2 linked regions of the Drosophila melanogaster genome follow. Changing the gene in region 1 together with any one later gene gives a genetic interaction. Each region holds a gene or a part of one and is shown on either strand. Other genes may lie near its edges.

What was found. Genes that interact genetically often act in the same process or in processes that back each other up.
Region 2: of Stat92E (region 1) and tor, changing one suppresses a phenotype caused by changing the other (phenotypic suppression), as found in Drosophila melanogaster (2 studies listed by BioGRID).

Annotation. Positions count from the first base shown.
Region 1 is NT_033777.3:20,544,642-20,555,628, reverse strand, and holds the start of Stat92E (Signal-transducer and activator of transcription protein at 92E), read left to right. Parts: upstream 1-4,521; 5' UTR 4,522-4,908; intron 4,909-10,987. Other genes in the region: att-ORFB (uncharacterized protein), read left to right, coding at 1,339-1,376, 1,430-1,733, 1,794-2,045; DPCoAC (dephosphocoenzyme A carrier), read left to right, coding at 731-923, 1,430-1,733, 1,794-2,059, 2,316-2,502, 2,573-2,720. UniProt on the Drosophila melanogaster protein: Might play a role in signal transduction and activation of transcription.
Region 2 is NT_033778.4:7,704,541-7,715,527, reverse strand, and holds tor (torso), read left to right. Parts: upstream 1-6,343; 5' UTR 6,344-6,582; coding exon 6,583-6,735; intron 6,736-6,802; coding exon 6,803-7,033; intron 7,034-7,185; coding exon 7,186-7,423; intron 7,424-7,483; coding exon 7,484-7,566; intron 7,567-7,622; coding exon 7,623-7,791; intron 7,792-7,859; coding exon 7,860-8,165; intron 8,166-8,221; coding exon 8,222-8,557; intron 8,558-8,614; coding exon 8,615-8,786; intron 8,787-8,847; coding exon 8,848-9,346; intron 9,347-9,413; coding exon 9,414-9,508; intron 9,509-9,561; coding exon 9,562-9,684; intron 9,685-9,744; coding exon 9,745-9,882; intron 9,883-9,938; coding exon 9,939-10,112; intron 10,113-10,170; coding exon 10,171-10,225; 3' UTR 10,226-10,345; downstream 10,346-10,987. Other genes in the region: CG1946 (uncharacterized protein), read right to left, coding at 417-545; Dgat2 (diacylglycerol O-acyltransferase 2), read right to left, coding at 1,408-1,565, 1,625-1,824, 1,882-2,223, 2,290-2,421, 2,480-2,577, 2,638-2,766; CG1941 (uncharacterized protein), read right to left, coding at 3,628-3,785, 3,852-4,051, 4,112-4,453, 4,548-4,679, 4,735-4,832, 4,884-5,012; CG34216 (uncharacterized protein), read left to right, coding at 10,591-10,987. UniProt on the Drosophila melanogaster protein: Probable receptor tyrosine kinase which is required for determination of anterior and posterior terminal structures in the embryo.

The sequences.
Region 1 (10,987 bases):
AAAAGCCATCCGAGTGCCTATTTTTGAACCTATGCCAAGGGAACGTGCTTCTAACAATTACGAAACAATTGCGAGAGCAATTGAATATTATTTGCATGAACTTGCGAAATGTGTGTTTTCGCTATCAACAGGCGCACATAATATTTTCCTGGGCTCCATAAATACACCTGTCTGTGCAAGAGTAGCACCCAATTTATTTACTCTTCACAATCAATACAATAATAAGAGCAGTACTATTGTTTTTCATTATTGGTCACACATATCAATTATCAGCGAAATCCAAAGCTGTGTTTTTGTCGTTCGTTGGCTGATAAGAAATCCAAACACTTGTCATAAAGTTGCACCTAAACTATTAGCTACTGTGCTTAGAAGAATTCTAGATTAAAATAAAATCATTTACCAATAATTCATGGTACAATAGAAATGCTTTCAGTTTAAACCTAACCTGTTAGTTGGATTTTAGAAGCTTCATTCTCAAAATATTAATATATAAGTTAGTTGTGCTATTATGTTGACCTCAGCTGTACAGCAGCGCCCACTCAGTTTGCTATATGTGTCTCTGCTGGGAAGTCTTATGAAAGCAAAGCAATTTTCGGCTGGTTTAGATTAGTTTTGGCCATATTGAGCTCTTATCAGTGGTGTCGATAAGCCTGCGCTTTTTTGGTGGTCCAATATAGCCGGCTCAGATTGATATGCAAATTGATTTCAGGTCCCCCAGTCCGAGTCTGCGATGAGCCGACTCCTGGAGAAGCCCAACATCGCCATGTCCATCAAGTCCACGGGTAGTCAGCTCTCGAGCACGATGACGACAGCCTCGGCGACGCTGTCCTCGGACCTGGACGATGCGGACACATCCCGCACCCAGCTGAGTCCATCGGAAACATCTGGAGTAGTCCTCGTACCCGCCACTACAGTCACACCCAGTAAGTAAGGCGCAAAAGACAATTCACGAGAGATTTGTTTTCCAGACGCATAGCCAAGGATTTCAAACATTTTGATACTTGAAGGCAGTAAATAAAGCTACAATCTTAATTAACATGTACAAAAATCAAATTCAATGAACTTTCTCGCAATGTGATTTCCAATTCCTAGTAACTACTAAGCATTATAAAATGGACCTATTTAACTATGAGCTTAAATCCAGGACTCATTTTATAGTAGGCACTTCGATTCCACTTGAATGCCAAACATGTCCAAACAAAAATTAGGGAAACGCTAAATTACATTGGCGACACAATGAAAACTCTTGAATTTTTGTGTTTGTCGACAGTAAAATGTCGAGTATTTGACTTCAAACCGAACTAAATTATAGAGCGTAGTGGAGTGTCAAAGTTTCCTATGTCCCTCCGTTTATTTATCCATAGTCGCGCATTCGGGTATGAATGCATATTGAGATTTTCTATTCATTTTCTACCATTTACTATTTCAGTGCGCCAGAAAATCGACCAGGTGGTGATCAGCCTGATATCCGGAGCAGCGGCGGGGGCGCTGGCCAAGACGGTCATCGCCCCGCTGGACCGCACAAAGATCAACTTCCAGATCCGCAACGATGTGCCCTTCTCGTTTCGAGCCTCGCTGCGCTACCTGCAAAACACCTATGCCAACGAGGGCGTTTTGGCCCTGTGGCGGGGGAACTCGGCCACGATGGCCAGAATCGTGCCCTACGCAGCCATACAGTTCACGGCCCACGAGCAGTGGCGTCGCATCCTGCACGTCGACAAGGACGGCACCAAGTGAGTTGTACTATGCTCTAGATTCTCACCAACTTCATGGCGAATCATTCTATTTTGCAGCACGAAAGGTCGTCGGTTTTTGGCTGGCTCCCTGGCGGGAATCACCTCACAGTCGCTGACGTATCCTCTGGACCTGGCACGCGCCCGCATGGCCGTCACGGATCGGTATACTGGCTATCGGACGCTGCGACAAGTCTTCACCAAGATCTGGGTGGAGGAGGGTCCGCGGACGCTGTTCCGCGGCTACTGGGCGACCGTTCTCGGCGTGATTCCCTATGCGGGCACCTCCTTCTTCACCTACGAGACTCTTAAGCGGGAATACTATGGTAGGAATACTACCTATATCCTAATATAAAATTCTATAGACTTAGGGGAGATGTTCATTTAAAAATTCTTGTATATTGTATATGTCCATAGAATTCGGTTTTAAGCCCCAAGTTTATTGTGGAATTATACAGATAATTTCAATTTAAACCGGCATTCTGGGTCATTGTCATTATTTTGATTATGCTAGTAGAAGTTACCTATATTCTAATTAAGTGCTCACTGAATTTGCCAACTAAATGACTTGTTTGCTTGCAGAAGTGGTCGGCAACAATAAACCCAATACTCTAGTCTCGCTGGCCTTCGGTGCTGCGGCTGGTGCCGCCGGGCAAACGGCCAGCTATCCATTGGACATTGTGCGGCGAAGAATGCAGACAATGCGGGTGAACACGGCTGGCGGAGATCGGTACCCAACCATCCTGGAGACTCTCGTCAAGATCTATCGGTGCGTGCAAATCTTTGTCAACGATTTTATTCATATTTTAATTGCGATTTTAATTACGATTTCCAAACAGTGAGGAGGGCGTCAAGAACGGTTTCTACAAGGGACTTAGCATGAACTGGATCAAGGGACCCATCGCCGTGGGCATCAGCTTCTCCACCTACGATCTGATCAAGGCGTGGCTCACGGAGCTGGCCAACTTGAGACGGGTTGAGAAATAGCCCAGCTCCCTGCCCCTGCCACTCGTCACCCATAAACACCACACCAAAAACGCACTGCTTTGATCTTAAGTCTCGCGATCGATGGATGAGCTGAGGAAATAGAAGTGAAGCACCGACATGCTCTAATTGTTAGATATTTTTTAGCTGTTAGTTGTGAGGGAGAGAAGCGATGAAGTGAAGACACCCGAAAGCGCTTAACTTTGTTATTAACCGTAATTGATTTATTATCGCCGTAAGCCGAAAGTATATCAGCCAATAAACTGTCTGAATAATGACTCGCCTGGCACATACTGCTCCCCAGGACCTCGTATTCAATGGTGTTGCTTTGACAATAACACTCCTAGATTAATGATTACGATTTACCCGAACATTTTGTATATTGTGTATTGCCAACTCAATGTCAAGGCGCTGCGACTGTTAAAATAGTCATGAATTTGAGGGTGTTCACACCAGCATATACTATGTAATTCTTGTATGTTAGTGTGTTTTTATTATTAAAATTTACAAAATTGTTTAACTGATCGATTATCTCAATCGTTTTTAAAACGCGCGCCATCGGTTGTGACAGGTGGCACCTCCGGCGATTACGCGATAACATCTTTTGCGGGGGTGCTGTATATCGAAATATGCTGGTAGTCGCGTTCGCAAAAATTCGAGTGCTCGCAAAACGAAAACAACGTAAATTTAGTGCGTTTTAAAAGTGATAATTAAGACTATTTGCCCTGGAATTAGGTGGCCCAACAGCCGTGAGCTGCAGGCGGTGTTGTTTTAAGGATAAAAAGCGTTTTTCCCCCAACACCTGCCATAACCAAAAAGGCAATCTGAAAGGTGAGTGATTTGCTGTGCTGCGCCGATTGTGGAATGGATTAATTATTTAAGGCCTATTGATTAGACGGGGCACAGCCTTAAAAAAACCCCTCTCCGAGCACCAACCCTCTTCATTTAAAGAGGGTCGGGGGTGGCATTCTCATGCTCGCTTGTTGCTGCGCACAACAGGTGAAAATTCAGAAGTCGCGTATGTTTATATGCAGAATACACAAGAGTTGGCAAAAGACCATTAATTGTGCTTCTCTGCGTCTGGGGTAACCTTGACTTTCGGTGGACAAATCAATCAAATGCAATTAATTACACCGCCAGCGGTGCATATGTGTGGGTGGCAGCTCGTGTGTGTACAGACAACATGCGCACTCATATCTGCGGCGCCACAATGATGCGAAAATGGGTGTAAACCCCCTTTGATAAATGTTTGTTTATCGCAATTAGCTTCGCAAATTGTTTATTCTTTAGCAGCCGACAGTGCTGTTAACTTAACAGGGGTGCGAGGGTTGCACTTCGGGTTATCAGAGTTTTCCACCATCAAATTCATTTTACTTCTAAATAATAACTTCAATCAACTTATTTTTCTTTAATTAACTCACAAAGTTTAGTGGAATATTAGCACGATAGAGATATATATTTCGTAACTTGTTTAGTCTTAATGTTTCTTTTAGAACATCTTTACGAAAAATCCTAAATGCTATTTGTTTAATTATGTGCATTCCAAGTCAAAAATTTATAAGTAATAACAATTCAAAAATTTTGTTTTACCATAGTTATCGAGCTTTGGTCCCTGGTTGTTAACAATATTTTACTGCGCTGCTCTATAAAATTAAATCAACTTATTTTCTAATTAGAATTTCCTATCTTCCCGGTTTGGCAGAGATTTATCAGAATCGATACCCACTGTTAACAGCGATTGTTCACATGTGTTCATCGTCCGATAGTATCGCATGTGGATCGCTTTCGCTCCAACTCTAGAGACGCGGCAGTCGTTTTTTAGCCACTATAGGGAATTGTTCGAATGCGGAGCAATTTTCAAATGCGCAACCAGTTGAATTCTTTTGCAAGTGCACTTTGTTTTCAAGGATTCGTTTAACTGATAGGATTTCCTTTGGTCGAGACTCTAGTTTTTTTTTCTAAATTCTCAGTGCGTGTGCGGGTGTGCATGTGCGTTCCGTCTCCCTCGCACTGCGTCGTGTGTGTAATGTTTGTGTGTGCGTGAAGCCAGCGCGATTTAAAAATAAAACGGCAAATACATAATAAAAAATATCGAAGAGCAACAGCGGCAGGCGTACCAATACAAACTAACCGATACCAGCCAGCCGTGTGTGTTTACACAGTGTTGTGCGTTGGTGTTTGTGTACCAAAGGTAAATAGAAATAGGAGAAAAAGAGCAACAAATTTACGAGTGGTGGGGGGTACGTATATAAATGCGTGTGTGGGTGGGAGGACTCCGCTGCAAATGTGCACTGCGCAAATAATGTGGGTGGGCGTGTGGTGGTTCCGCAAGGCCTTCACGAAGGTTCTCTGCCTTTTGGCCACAAATTCGATGCACCATCATCATGTGTTTCCACTTGACGCTTTATTTATACATCAACAAAATACCCACACACATGCACATGTGTTCTTCACGCTCCTGTTTCCCGGTCTTCTTCTTCCCCGTTCATTGTTGTTTCCTGGAAAGCCCATAAAAACAAAGGCAACAAGAATTTCGAGTGCAATAGCACAAATGGCAGCAACAACAACACTGATATCGAGTATATTAGCTGTTCCCCATCTCACCGTCCCACTCGCTCCCTTGCACAGCGAGAAAGCGAGGCTATAAAACTAAAAATTATATATATTTAATGTCCTCTGTTTAAAAAATTAAGCTTTTTTGTATAAATACATAATACAATTTTTTGTATAAGGCATTGGTAAATTAATCCCATGTGTTGGGGCCCGATTCAACACCTGGTATCACAACATTTGGCAACACATATTTAACTGTTACTCTAGCACTATTTTTTCAAGTGTCTGACGTACGGGGCCCTATCATTCTCATATTCACATGCTACTCTTGCTTTCATACGTCGCCGACTTCTGCGCGCTCAACACTTTTATCTTGCTCGCTGTCGTCGGTCGCTTACTGCCCCCTCCTCCGTCGCGGGCTTCCCCTCTCTCCACCATGACTTCTTGGCCTGGCTATAACCCGGCTGGCTTCTACCACTTCGGACAAATTACGATTGTCAGCGACGCCGACGTTAGCTAACCCCTTGGCGTTTCACATTTGATAAACCCGATCGCATTGCTGTGGACACCGTAGATTATCATTGGTCATAGTGGGTCCTCCAATCAATGGCCAGGTGGACGGTCAACTTACATAGGTTAGTTGGCAGAGGGGTTTCTTCGTTTATGTCAACTAATAAAACGCATACATTATATAACTACCATTATTTATTAACAGTGGTTAAAATCATTAATTTTATAGATGAAAGGGAGATACAATATAATATTGTACTTTATTCAGAATTGTATTTACGGTCTGAGAAACTATATTTTACATTTAAAGTTCACCCTGAATTGAAATAAAGTAGTAATGTGGCTTTTATATATTGAAAATATATTGTATATAGATTCGAATGAACAGATATACTCTAAATGCCACGATACTTAAAACTATAGGGTGCTCAAAGTTCGTTTCCCCAATTAGTTCTTCTATATCGTGTTGGAACTCACTCCCGTCAGATTTGAACATATGTATTTATGCAGCAAAGTTTATCGCCACCAATCCAGTCCACCACATGTGTTTAAAGTTATTTCTGGATCTTCGATATAGGCAGTGCTAATTATTGCGCTATTATGCGAATCACTATCCTCAAGCGCAAATCAAGCCGGCTTCTTATCGGCGACTCTCGTTATTTACTTTGTTACATTGACACCTCGTTATCAAAGTCGTTTATTGCGTTGCATTTCATTGTCGTAAATGGAGCACTCTGCTGCGCCTTCAATAGATTGGGGGCCTACTGTACTTACACATATTGTGCCTGCTTATCGCTGGCAAAATGCTTTTCTGGTGGTAGTAGATGGCCCCCGAACTAGCGAATCAAAACTTCAATCTATAGTTTCTGAGGAAGTTACTTTGAGGAACTTACTACAACGTATTTTACAAATATTTTTGTCAATATGCCCAATTATCAAGTTTGAAACCCGAAAATCTGTCTAGCTCGTAATCAAAGCTGTACTTATTATTAAAAAATTAAAGATCATATTTATTTATTACTTGAAAAACCCAAATCATTGGTTATGGAAATATTGACCCTAATGCTAATTAGTTTTTGAAAAACAAATAAGTAATATAGAGCAGTAAAAAATGGATTCAATAGAGGATTAATACATTTCTGCGAATCTTTTGTTGCACTCCGCTGATAAGGAGTCCCATTTATTGGAATTTTGCTAAGACTTTACAGTTAAGCAATAAAAGACAATGTTTGGTAGCTGTATTGTTTGATAACCTGACTGACTTCAGTCGAATAATCACTTTTCGAACCATTGAGCACCAACACAAGACTGATAACTGAGTGATACCCAACCATGATTGTATTTGTATTGCAGATGACAGTTTGGACAAATATTCCTTAATTACTTTATTTTTTGACAAATAGACTTGAGCACATATTTTATGAGCTTAAGATCGGTGGGATTTATGAACAGATAAGTGAGGTCATCGGGGCAAGTGTGACAACAAACATTGATCTGTTCGCGGAACGAGCATTATGTGGTGATAAGAAACCGTGTGCCGACACATTACTTAGCTCAATATAACCCAATCGATCCGGTGTTTCTCGTTAGACGAAACAAAAGCCGACAAACATCGTGCAAAATGTCAGGCGAGCAGCAACGATAAATGATTACTTAAATAATACTTGGTGTGGCAAAGTGGTGGTGGTGGGGGGGCTCACTTTGGGCTCGGTTGGGGGTGGTGCAACGGCGAGGTTTCCATTGTCGATGTACGGCGTACACCCACACAACCACGAGGAAAAGAACACTGAGGCATGCTTATTAAACTTTTATGAGTACAAAAACAAATACCACAAACGACTCTCGTTTCTCACAGGGCAATCGTAAGTGTGTGCGTTGTTTATAAAAAATTGAACAAGAAAAATATAAAATGAACGCGGCTGGCTGGCACAAATGTCGAAGCAGCAGAAAGCAAAAAGCAAAAAGCGAAAAGAACAGCCAGGAACAACAAAGGCAGCACACCCGCGCTTGGGTGTTTGCAATCGTCGGTTTTCGAAGTGGTCAGAAATGCTTGGACGCCATACTAAGGGCCGAGGAAATTGTAGTGACCCCAACCAAAGCTCTACGGGCATAACAATCCCAACTTTGATGTCATGCCCATACAAATTTTCCCCCCACAGAGTGCATGACTAATATTCAAATTGGTGTGTCCAACTCAAAGAACGCGAATTTTTATAAAGTTATATGCCAACACTTTTATGGTTTATTTAAATAAATTGTATTATTGCTAACATATGTATGAACGTCGAGATCGCTAGAACTTTAAAAGCTAAAAGGTTTTGCTATTGGACATACAAATTCTACGCCCACAATATTTTGTATTTTATTATTAACTATTTTTATTGATATTTCAAATGAATTTTGAATTCCCATTTTATTTTATTGTGCAGAACGTATGCTCCATACAAAAAGTTTGATTCCGCGCAACGAGGTATCACTGTCCCAACTTACCTTTTATGATACGTAGTTCCAACCAGTCTTATCAGTGCCGGGCTGCTGCCATAAAACTTTCCACTTGCCGCACTTGGATTCCTTGGAGCTTTTCAATTCGCATGAAAATGGGAATCTTTTCTATCTGCGGCTATATCTTATTTATACGCCCACTTTGCAGATAACACGTTTTCCAGAATTTTCGCTGTGGCAATAGGCCAGATATTGTGTGTGCATACTGCTTACGGGGATTATTCTCCATCTGAATCTGCAGATTGTTTATCCCAAAAAATTTCGCATCGCACATATAGAAAGATAAACAAAGTGGCTCGGTGTGTGGAGTAACGATTGCCTGGTGCTCGAAGACGATGAGTCATCATCCAACCAAATGCTTATCTAAAATGCGCCCATTCGGCATTTTTTCTAGCTCGGCATATTAATCACACGACTAAAAGTGCAACTGGGCTGTTTCCTCTTTCTTCCTCCCCCCTCCCCTGTCTATCATGCCATTTCTCATCGTATTTCTGTGCTGTTTGTGATTCGCTTTTTGTTTGCCCGGACGGCAGCGAAAAGTCAACTTTTGAGTGGGCAGCTGGCCGGCGAGAGCTTGTTGAGAATCTGTATCTCGTGCGCACAGATACAAAAGTATCTACACATGTCCGTACAAATAGGCAAACACAATCCGTTGGTCAAGAATGTATGTATGCCATAACAATTGGCACTCAATTGTAAATGCATATTACTATGAACTGTGGGTTTTCCCCCGGCGAACGCTGAACTGACTTATATTTTTCTTAGATCCGCTGCTTTACATGCACACAGCCCACAACAAACAACGGATGCAAAAAGCAGCCCAACCAGTTCGCTTTTCACTGCAATTGGCAAACCACTTTCATTGTATGCACTGGTTTTTCATTGTTGAAAACTCAAGGCTCAAGGTCGCAGGAGGCACTAGTTTTTTCTGTGCGCATACTGCTTAACTGTGAAGCTAGGTAGATTATAAAAAATTAATTTAGTTCTCAGAATTTTGGAATTTCCCATTGGTACATGCTAGGATGGATAGAAACTGTCAAACTTCCGGGTGCTAAGAAAGCGTTTTTTTTTGTTTAGATATGTATATATTATACTATATATGCATTGGATATACGGCGATTCTTCGAATGCTCTTCTTCGATAGACGTCAATGCAAATTCAAGTTTTGCAACTGAAAACATTTTTGCTGTCGAGAGATCGAAATGAATTTATATACATACATTTAAAAAATGGAAAGAGCTTCGTTCGTTACACATTTGTTGTGCTTGTGGTCGAAATATACTCGTGTTTGCGCGCTTGAGGCGCTTTTGAGGTCTGTGGAGGTCTGTTGTATACACGTTTTTAACCCCCTAAAGCCGGCCAGCCGCGGTCATTTCTCATTCACCTCTCCATTTGGCGCAGAAGCCCCTGTGGACATGTGTGAACATTTACAACCGCGTATAAATAACGCCGACTAACATATTTGCCTGCAACCAACTAAGTATACTTCGCATTTTACCTCCATCTCCCTCTACCGACTAAACAAACTCACATTCTATATGTGGTCTATATGGCGCTATAAATCGCTAAAGTTGGTGGGGTCGTGCGGGGGAGATGGGTTCAGTGGGTAACTACCGGTTATCGCGGCTTTTGCGGTAAACTTAATGCCGGCCGATGTTTTAGCTACAAAGCAAGGCGAAAAACACGCATCATAATAATAAACGATGATTTTTCTTTAAAAATTCATTATATTTCGCTATTCGAAATTACACGTTTCCTTTTGTGCACATCTACTTTCCAAGTTGTTCCGAGAATTGTAGCCAAAAGCATGCTACTAAGGGTTATACAAATCAGAAAAAAAAAACCATCACACACTTTCACACAATTAAAATATAAACATTTTTGATTTGATAAAGTTTTCATGCGCTTGAAATTGTGCAAGAAGCGCATAATTCTTATTTAATTTAAAACCAACGTTTGAGGCGCTTATCGCAGGAAGTTCGATAATGCAAACATAAGTAGTGAGTATTAATAATGGCATGATAAATATAATAATGTTATTATATATATTATTTCTTAGCATTATGCACAAGGTCGCGTTTCATAAATTTTCTACAACTTGTAGTTCAATTCTTGAATGAGCTATTTAATTAAAATATTTTTTTTCGTACTGTGCTTTTTCGCTGACGTCACGTGCTGGAGATATTTTTCGCTTTCAGCGCAGTCAATAGCGAAACTTAAAAATGCCGCAAAACTTTTTTATCGCGTCTGGGTTTTTGCTTGGTTTGTTTAGCCTTTGTTTTTGTTTTCATTCAGCGTTTGCTGCTCGTGCGGCGGCTAGCGGAAAGAAAACTGGATTTCTTGGGAGCATCATCAGTACAGAATCAAAACACATTCAAAACCAAAAAAGGATTTGACTCGATATCAATAAGTTGTTAGTTACTAAGTTGTATAAAAATGCACTTCTGACTTGAAATGCTCTTAGTTTGGCTTAGATTGGACGCCTATATACTTTAGGTTGTCATGTCGATTTGGTCCCAAAAGACAGCACATGGCCAAAAACTATAGCGATATAGAGCCCCCCGAGAGAGGCGGTGGCCACCCAGTCATCCATCCATGCATTTTTGGCTCTAATTATGGGGTGTGGTTGGTTATTTCCTTGATAATATACACCGGCGTTTCATCATTTGTGGCCCTCGAAGAGGCGATGTGCGTAAATTAACATA
Region 2 (10,987 bases), on another chromosome or scaffold:
AAAATATGAAAGAAAGATACAAATTGTTAGTGCTTTGGTAAGTACAATGTAAGTAGTTCTTATAATTATAATTTAAGTGGTATGCTGACATGAAATTCCTATCCATTAGTTGGTAAAACTATCTCAAGCTATTTCCTTTAATTTCACTTCTATAAATTAGTCTTATGGAATATCTTACACTAAAATAATTAACCGCTTTCAACGATCTCGATTTTGGTTTCAAAAACTAGCCAGCTTCCTCAGATCGAGATCGAAACATTCTCAGATTGCAAATGTTTTTGCTCTTATTTGGATCTTCCACAATTTTAAACCCGATACTGATTCCGTCTATAATTAACAACATTGAGATCGTTTTCGCGTGTGTAATAACATAATAAAAACATAAGTGTAATAACTAATTTGCCCTGAAGGATTACCAGCAGGATAGCTACTGCGAGGCAGGACGAGATGGGCAGCGTAAAGAAGGTATAGGTGAAGAATGACGTAACCAGGGTCTGAAGCCGCCGTTCCAGCGGAACCCGGAGAGGAGCCCATTCGATTGTCATGCTCAATTAGACCGATCTTCAACACAAGAAGCGACTATTTCGACGAGTTTCCAGCGACTGAGCGATCAAGTATCAGCACACACAATTTCCAGGGTGTAACGTGGAGTACTTATCCTTATCAATGTGACGACCCGCCTCTTCGCAGCGATCCGCAAGTGTCGTTAACAGTTTGAGAACCACACTTAAGTGATAAGCCATTGATAATTGCCTAAATCCAGACACTAGACATCACACACTAGGTGGGGGGCATGGGGTAAGATTAGGTCACTACGCAGATGATCTGAAAAGTAGCCAGTGAAACTCAGATTTATTTGCCCAAATTATAGTCAAATCAGTCCGATAACTGATCTAAAGTGGCTGTAAATATTGATTCGATCTTAGCTGGTTGTTTTCAATCGACGGCAGCTGAATCATATCTTGGGAACCCGGTACTATTCCAATGTTTATATGGTTATGCCGGCAACAGTCATTCCTATCGCGATCGATTCTTGACCTTTACTCGAAGAACCTAATGCTGAGGTCACACGTTTTGGCGGTGCTTCGCAACAGTCAGAACACTCATTCCATTGTGCGTACGCCAATAGTGTGTTCTGCGATAAGGAATCTAGTCGATTTTGTCGTAGTTTTACTAGAGATCTGTGTCGCCCTTATCAGCCGATTGTTTCATTCACAAAAGTGCTGATTCACGCAGACTTTGTTACATTGAACTGAAATTATAGTGTAAGTACTATGAGTATGCACATTTCTTTATTTGCAATGCAATGTGTAATCAACTTGTAATGAGACAACCAGTTTAAATTCAATTAAAAAGCTCGTTTCTATTTCAATACATAGGAATATTTTGTATCAACATGATTTAAAACTAGTGTACAACTAGAGTGGCACTCTTCGAATTCTCCAAGTACTTGTCTTTGTACTGATCGAATAACTTCTCCAGCGACTCAATGACCTGTCCATGCACTTTATCCACATACTCCGAGTCTGGGTGCTCGTTCTTAACAACATCGATGGGAGCACCAACTGGGAATTAAAATATTATTACCACTTATTTGCGTAAAGTATATAAAAATATAACTTACCAACTTGGACAATGCGTCGTCGGAATGGGAGGAAGCCAAAGGTGTAGTTGAAGAATCCGCGGCCCACAGGAATCAGCGGAGAGACTCCGGTGAGCTTCTTGACAAAGTCCTGAAACCGTCGGAGCAGCGAGTTGGGGGGATTTGCCACCTGATCGAAAATGTCCACCTCTCCAAAGGAAAATGAAGGAACAATCGATGAGCTGAAATCAGGATATATGTAAATGGGAATTTAAATTACACTCGAACCCATTACTTACCCCGTTCTAATGGCCATTCGCACGAAGCCTTTCCTATTCTTCAAGGTTAAAATGTACTGCCCAGGATGAGAGTCCATGGCTTCCTGGGCACCGCCAACCAGAATGGCCACCGCATTGGAGGTGAAACCATCCCGATTATCCTTGTGCTTGGGATCATTTGACTTGCTGAGCATACGGATCAGCGCCTCTTTGGACACTGACACCAGACCCCAGCAGCGGAGGACCTCACGCATGAACGGAACATGGAAATGCTGATCCAGAGTGCCCAGTTTGGGACGCACTTGGGGGAATAGCTCCAGCCACTTGGAGATTTCCAAGCCCATGTTAATGCCAATGCCTGTGCTACAATAAAAATCAGTGTCTATTTATATTCGAACGATTAGATTGGCTATCTGTCAAGGTGCTTACCCCAGAATTCCGTGGGGAAAGCTGGCCAAGATGTAGTTCTTAGTAGCTGGCAGTTCGGCTGTTTTCACCAGCTCCACGGGAAAGTAATCACGATAGTGGCGATGCAAAAGGTTGGTGCGTGTTATCATCCAGCTGAGCGATATACACAGCGATATAATCTTACAGAGACTTTCGTTAGTATTCGACTTACCCATTGCCATCCACAACGGATTGGGTTTTCTTGTGGTGCACAAAGACGTAGGCCAAGTAAGTTACCATCAGACTACGCACCAAAAGACCTCCGTAGATCTGAAGGGAAACTCATGTTCTGTAATACTTATGCATATGACTAAATGGTTAGTGTCTTACCAGTGATCCAGCTACCAAAAGGAAGGAAACTGACAATAGTATCAGCAGCATGGAGGTGAAAAAGGCCGTGACCAGTATCTGCAGTCGGCGTTCCAGAGGAACCCGCAGTGGTGCCCACTCGATTTTCATGTCTGCTGTGTTACAAAAATGCCCAAAAAAACTCCACCAGCTGCTCTTTCGGCGGTTCTCCCACGACTGAATGATATGGAAGCCAGCGATGGTCAAATTGCCCTGTACTAGACTTATACTTATCCTTATCGGCTCTCGGCTTCATGCAGGGCGCCCGCATTACCTGCTAATCACAAGCCAACTAACCAGTCAGTAGCACTTTGTGTGGGGCTGATGGGAATTCGCGATTGGAGTGATGAAGATTATAAACTCGGCATGCAATCGCCGTCTGGGTGCAAAGGTATGCGGCGATTCCTAGGAGATTACCCACTTTCAAGAGCACTATGATTCAATAAGCATTTTATGCTGTGGGTCGTATTTCTTAAGATTTATAAGTCAGTTAAGTGATAAGCTGTATTACTTTTATACTACATACAACGAAATTACAAAAACATACAACGGATTAAGTTGTATGCTTGTATGATGAAATAATTGTTTTTTAATTGAAGGCTGTAGTTTAAAAATCAATAAAGCTGGTTGAACAGGGATTATTAGAAATAAATGATAATGCTGTTATTACTACATTTGGTATATTCTGCGCTCATTGTTATGTTTTTTCCCTATATATCAATTAATAAATCATAGTTATTCATTTTAAATTGAACGCCAACTTCTACTGATCGTTGATCAACACTGTTTGCCGTCTTATCGATAAATAATTGCTATCAATAGCGATAGCTGCTTATTCAAAGTTTCGATCACTACCCGTCGTTTTAAAAAGCTTGTATGGCAATTTTATTTGCCTGATAAAATTCGTAATTTTTATATTAAATGCTTATAAAGCACTCATTTGATCACATTGTTTAGACAATAACTTCTCGACTAGTGTATAATCAGCTTGTCCTGCTTGGAGTTCGGTATGTACTGATCCTTGTACTTGGCGAACATCTTCTCCAGGTCGTCAATAACCTGTTTGTGTATCTTATCCACATAGGCTGCGTCTGGTTGATCGCTCTGAACCACGTCGATGGGAGCGCCAACTGAAATTTTTTAAAGTTTATTTGAATCTTACAACTATGCGACATTTGAATGAGCTGAGGACTCACCAACTTGGACAATGCGTCGACGGTTGGGCAGAAAGCCAAAGGAGTAGTTGAAGATGCCCCGGCCAACGGGAATCAGCGGAGATATCCCCGTTATCCTCTTTACAAAGTCTTGAAAGCGACGAACCCGAGAGTTCGGTGGATTGGCAACCTGATCCAGAATGTCCACCTCGCCAAAGGAAAACGTGGGAACAATCGAAGACCTAAAATGAAGACCGGATACAATTAAAAATAACTTTTAGTTGTATCCGATTTCAACCTACCCTGTCCTAATGGCCATTTTAACGAATCCCTTGCGGTTCTTCAGTGTCAATATATATTTGCCAGGGTGCGAGTCTAGTGCCTCCTGGGCACCACCCACCAGAATAGCCACCGCGTTGGAGGTGAACCCATCACGATTGTCCTTGTGCTTGGGATCGTTTGATTTGGTTAGCAGATATACTAAGGCCTCCTTGGAAACCGACACCAGGCCCCAAGATCTCAGGAGACCACGCACGATGGGCGTCAGGAAGTTTTGATCCAAAGTGGCCACCTTGGGCCTCACCTGTGGGAACAGTTGCAGCCACTTGGAGATGTCTAGACCCATATTAATGGAAATGCCAGTCCTATCAGGGTTACAATATGTGCGTAAGAAGGTATACAAATGTTTCGTCACCTAAGCAACCATCGATAAGATTGACTATCAGTCAACAAGCTTACCCCAAAATTCCGTGCGGAAAACTGGCCAAAATGTAGTTCTTATTCGGCGGCAGCTCTGCGGTCTTGACCAGCTGTACGGGAAAGTAGTCCCGATAATGCCGAAACAGCCAATTGTTGCGGTTAATTTTCCAGCTAAAATGGATTATTTTAGCTTTAAGTGTTCTTATAGGGACTTCATGACGCCTACCCATTGCCATCCATAATGGAGTGGGTTCTCTTGTGATTCGCGTAGACGTAGACCAAATAGATGACCATAATGGTGCGCCACAAAAGGCTTCCATAGAACTGGAAGGGAATGCTTTACTTTTCAAAATATTGAAGCACTGATGTATTTACCAGCACGGCAGCAACGAAGAAATAGGATCCAAAGGAGAGTATCATAAAGGATAGGATTAGGAAGGCCATGGCAAACGTCTGGCGACGCCGTTCCATGGGAACTCCTTTGGGAGCCCACTCGATTTTCATGATGTCAGAGCTCTCGAACTCGGAAAGTTGAACTACTTGGTAGCACGGTCCTCCGGCGACTGAAAAATGGAAATGTTCAATGTTTAGTTACCATTTCTTATCCTTATCAGTATCCGTCGGTGGCGCGAGTGCGTGGCTATTGGTTAGAGTTGTTAAAAAAATACCTTCGATTTAATGGCTATTCGCTTGGGGTGTTTAAAAATTCGAGCAATCAAGATAATGACTTGCTCTATATGGACGTCTGGCTAGAATGCCGATATGATATTATATGATATGATCTTATCATTGCCAACAACAGCCGGCTTTAACGTTTGTCCGATACTTGTGATCACATATATATAATTATTGTTTTGAAATTTCAATTGCAACTGGTTTGAATGCCTTTAGAAAGAGAACGAAACTGCTGTTGCACGACAACCTCCTCACTTTAATTGAATGGTGATAAAACTAACTGGGAGTTACTCGTATTGCTTTTGATCCGATCCGCTTTGGCCTAGTATCACAGGCTAATTATTTTAAACTTGTAGAGCTTTAATAAACTAGACGCTCCCATAGAAATTTATTATTAATGTTTACACACGTAATGGATCGTTATCGCGTTTGAGCAGCAGAACCGACGATGCGAGCGTACAACATTTAACTAAACTTGCGAGTGGCACTGAATGCTCGAGTTTCCCATGTGAGTGTTTCGAGTACTCGAATGCGATGCAACAATTGAGTCACCAATGTAATCGAGCGTTCTATACGAATAACCTGAATCAGAGGCAACTGAGGTCATGTGCATTTGCAAGTCGCTATAAGGAAATACCTGTATTGTCAGCTCTGTTCCAATTGAAATGGAATCAGGGAAAGTGTGATCACGCAAAAGCTACAATGTGGGCGAAATTAGCATAGTTGTTTTTTGGTTAATTTCGAATATTGGCGCCCAACATGGTTTCTAGGGATGGAAGCGACCAGCACTGCATTCTGATTTATCGGTTTGCTGCAATACAAGCTCTTTTGGCGCAACAGATCATAGAAGATTGAAATACAAACGTTGTTGGTGGTATCACAAATGAAAATTGCGAAGAGTTATCTGAAGTCAATGTTCTATGCTTATCCCAAGCCCTGGCGCTACTATGACGGAGTAGCGATCCAAATTTTTGCATTTCAAATGACCCCTAGTCCAATCCCATCCATACGATCAAGTACAATACGATGCAGTGAAGAGGTGAAAAACAAATCAAAACAAAATAGCGCAAAATATATTCAACGAGTCCGCCGCTTCTCATCATTCCTCCTTCTTCGTCGCTTTTTTACCATCGCATTTTTGGCCTCAGTTTCTCAGTTCTTTCTCAGTTCAGCAAGATAATCCGAGAAGGACGGATGGTATTGATCTCGAAAGTTGGAATCTAGAAACTAAGTATTCGAATTTGCTGTGTGTGTTATTGAGTTTTGTATCAAAGTGCGTGGTGGCAAAAGTGCAATAAACTTTAAGTCGGTTTTAAACAAATACACATTTCATTCCAACACACACACACCGACACACAACGAAGAACTAAAGAAGGGTTTCAAAAGCAGAACAAGGAAAATGCTTATTTTCTACGCGAAGTACGCATTTATCTTCTGGTTTTTCGTGGGAAGCAATCAAGGTGAAATGTTGCTAATGGACAAAATCTCTCACGATAAGACGCTTCTCAACGTCACCGCTTGCACCCAGAATTGTCTGGAAAAGGGCCAGATGGTATGTTTACACCCTTAGAATGTTGGAACACTCCATAACCAAAAGTGCATGCTTCTTTTCTCGACAGGATTTCCGAAGCTGTTTAAAGGACTGCAGGATTAATGGAACATTTCCCGGGGCTCTGCGCAAGGTGCAGGAAAACTACCAGATGAACATGATCTGCCGCACGGAGTCGGAAATCGTTTTCCAAATAGATTGGGTGCAGCACAGCAGGGGAACCGAGCCGGCTCCAAATGCCACCTACATAATCCGGGTGGATGCTGTCAAGGACGACAACAAAGAAACTGCGCTTTACCTGGTCAGATATTAGATGTAAACTCATTACTATTTACTTTAAAATACCATTTTATTTGATGAATTTCTAGAAAAAGATGTACTATGTAGTCATCAAGACCTAATGTTTCGTTTTACAAGTGGATCGCTCTTTTTCATCGACTTATTCGCTTGCAGTCTGATGACAACTTTCTCATCCTGCCGGGATTGGAGTCCAACTCTACCCACAACATCACCGCCCTGGCGATGCACGGAGATGGCAGCTACTCCTTGATAGCAAAGGACCAGACCTTCGCCACCCTCATCCGAGGCTATCAGCCCAGCAAAATGGGAGCGGTGAATCTGCTGCGGTTTGTCCCCCAACCAGACGACCTGCATCACATTGCTGCCGAAATCGAGTGGAAGCCATCGGCGGGTAAGTAGCTCCATCAGTTTAATCAATCAACGATCTACGAACCCTACTTTCATATTCCAGAGAGCAACTGCTATTTCGACATGGTGTCGTATTCAACCAACAGCGTGAATATGGACGAGCCACTGGAGGTGCAGTTCCGGGATGTGAGTATGCCATGACGCCCCTGCAATGCTAGAGCATAGCTAATCTTTTACTGCAGCGCAAAAAGCTGTACAGGCACACGGTGGACAACTTGGAGTTTGACAAACAGTATCACGTTGGCGTAAGAACGGTGAACATAATGAATCGACTGGAGAGCGATCTGCAGTGGCTGCCAATCGCTGTTCCAAGCTGCTTGGATTGGTATCCCTATAACTACACACTCTGCCGTAGGTTCCTCGAAAGTCCTATATAATAATAATATTAATAATAATAATATTGTTCCACCCTTTCATAGCACCCCATAAGCCAGAGAATCTTACTGTGACCCAGAAGCAGTATCTGCCAAATATTTTGGCCCTGAACATCACCTGGGCGCGTCCCAGATACCTGCCGGATAACTATACACTTCACATCTTTGATCTATTCAAAGGAGGTACGGAGCTAAACTATACACTTGACCAAAACAGGAGCCACTTCTATGTACCCAAGATCACGGTACTGGGTTCCCATTTCGAAGTACATTTGGTGGCCCAGTCGGCAGGCGGAAAAAACGTATCCGGTTTGACGTTGGACAAGGTTCATCGAGGTGTGTTGCTGAGCGGTACGTACGCTGAAGGAAATTAAATATTTAGACATCCATTTCCATCCATTGAACAGAGGGCAACATGGTCAAGTTGGTACTCTTTATTATCGTGCCCATATGCTGCATTTTGATGCTGTGCTCCCTGACGTTCTGCAGACGAAATCGTTCGGAGGTTCAGGCGCTGCAAATGGACGCTAAGGACGCGAAGGCCAGTGAATTTCATCTCTCCCTGATGGACAGCAGTGGCCTGCTGGTCACCCTCTCGGCCAACGAGAGTCTGGAAGTAATGGACGAGCTGGAGGTGGAGCCACACTCGGTGCTCCTTCAGGATGTCCTCGGCGAAGGAGCCTTTGGCTTGGTGCGACGTGGAGTTTACAAGAAACGCCAAGTGGCCGTCAAGTTGCTGAAAGGTTGTACCATTTGGTATTGAAGTTCTTGAATAATTCATGGAATTTTTGTTCTCACAGATGAACCAAACGACGAGGACGTATATGCGTTCAAGTGCGAAATTCAGATGCTCAAGGCCGTGGGCAAGCATCCAAATATTGTGGGTATCGTGGGATACTCCACTCGTTTTAGCAACCAGATGATGTTGCTAATTGAATACTGCAGCCTTGGAAGCCTGCAGAACTTTTTACGGTAAGTTATTTTTATACATATTGGAAAACAAGTGATGTATAGTAAAAAATGTATTACTTAGTGAGGAGTGGAAGTTCAGGCAGGAGCAAAATGCAATTGGACTTAAGAAGAACCTTGAACAGAACGTGGACAACCGACGGTTTAACCGACTCCCTAGAAATTCCATCCATGATCGCATAGAGGATATCAACAACTCGATGCTGTCCACTGTGGAAGAGGAGAGTGAATCGGATCAGACACACTCAAGTCGATGTGAGACCTACACCCTCACTCGAATAACCAATGCAGCCGACAACAAGGGCTATGGCCTGGAGGACATTGAAAACATCGGTGGGAGTTACATTCCCAAAACCGCTGAAGCTCCAAAGGATCGGCCAAAACGGAAGCTGAAGCCGCAGCCCAAGAAAGACTCGAAGCAGGATTTCAAATCGGACAACAAGAAGCGAATCTTTGAGAACAAGGAATACTTTGATTGCCTCGACTCATCGGATACCAAGCCCCGAATACCACTGAAATATGCAGATTTGCTAGACATCGCCCAACAGGTGGCGGTGGGAATGGTAGCCTACATCTACTCTATCCCTAAATGTAATTAAAAAGTGTAGCATGTATCATTTGCCATTTTAGGAATTTCTGGCCCAAAACAAAGTAGTGCATAGGGATCTGGCTGCCCGGAATGTTCTAATCTCCGTAGATCGCAGCATCAAGATAGCAGATTTTGGGTGGGTATCTCTGAAAGTTCAATGATTAGTTATATTGTGTTTTTTTTTTTAAGGCTGAGTCGAGATGTGTATCATGAGAACGTGTACCGAAAGTCCGGAGGAAGTGGCAAGCTGCCCATCAAGTGGCTCGCGCTGGAGTCCCTCACCCACCAGGTGTACACCAGTCAGAGCGATGTGTAAGTATATATTTTTGTTAAGTCCGAAGCGATTTTGTGGCTGATATCTTACCCTCTTAGTTGGTCCTTTGGTGTGCTGCTCTATGAGATCACCACTCTCGGTGGAATGCCATATCCGTCGGTGTCTCCCAGTGATCTCTTGCAGCTACTGCGACAAGGTCATCGGATGAAGCGACCGGAGGGATGTACGCAAGAAATGTGGGTATCAGTGCTTAGCGAAGTACATAATTGTTGATCACATTTGCTTAACTCAGGTTTTCCCTGATGGAAAGCTGCTGGAGCTCCGTGCCATCACACAGGCCAACATTTTCCGCCCTTAAACACAGACTTGGTGGCATGATTTTGGCCACTAACGATGTTCCAGAAAGGCTGAAACAACTGCAAGCTGCAACCGAGTCAAAATTAAAGTCATGTGACGGTCTAAACAGGTAAGTAATCTTTAAAAAGACAATTGTATACGTTACTTTCTTACCTTTTACAATTTAGTAAAGTGGAGCAAGTGCCATGCGAGGAAGAGCTATACCTAGAACCTTTGAATTAATAGTCATTGCTTCAAGATTATAATGAACGAGTGCAATACATTCTAAATTCGAGTTCCAATTCAGACAATGCTATGCGCCAGATAACCTTGCATAGCAATAAACATTAAAGCTAGCCTAAGAAAAATTTAATTTCTTTTTTATAAGAAAAACCAAGATATTTATAGAGTAAACTTCTAGCAGTGCCCTTTATGTCTCATAGAAACCGACCATTTCAAAATGTTTGTGCCTCCTTGCGGCTTAGGTTTCGAAAGAAGGTCGTTTATTTGGACCCCAATCAGCATCATTTTTGAAAATTCCAAATTGAAAGTCGGTCCAAGCTGGCTTGTTTACAGTGTTTCAATTCTACTTCTGGCCACCTCGATCGATGTGCATCCACTGCTGTCGCCTCCGCCGGACACCATGTCCACCGATTCCCTACAGCTGTCCACACTGCCCGGTGCGCACCATCTCCAGCTGCTGTCCACTGGGCAGTCGGCCCCTCGCCGAGAATCCTTTCATAAGAGGTCCGGATCGGGAGCCAACCCCCGATCCCTGCGACACCTTGCCACCGCGCTGGCTGGACCTCAATCGACGGGTCATATTTGCCTTGGCAAAAAGATTATGTCGATCTCCAGAGGCAGCTCATTATATTTTGCTTCGCCTGTTGTATGCCAACTATAGAAAAGTGATGATGATATCCAGAAAACGAAGGAGATACAAGGTGCCACTAAGTGGGTTTCCCGATCAGGATTTGTTCTCCGCCAGCGCACATTTCGATAGCA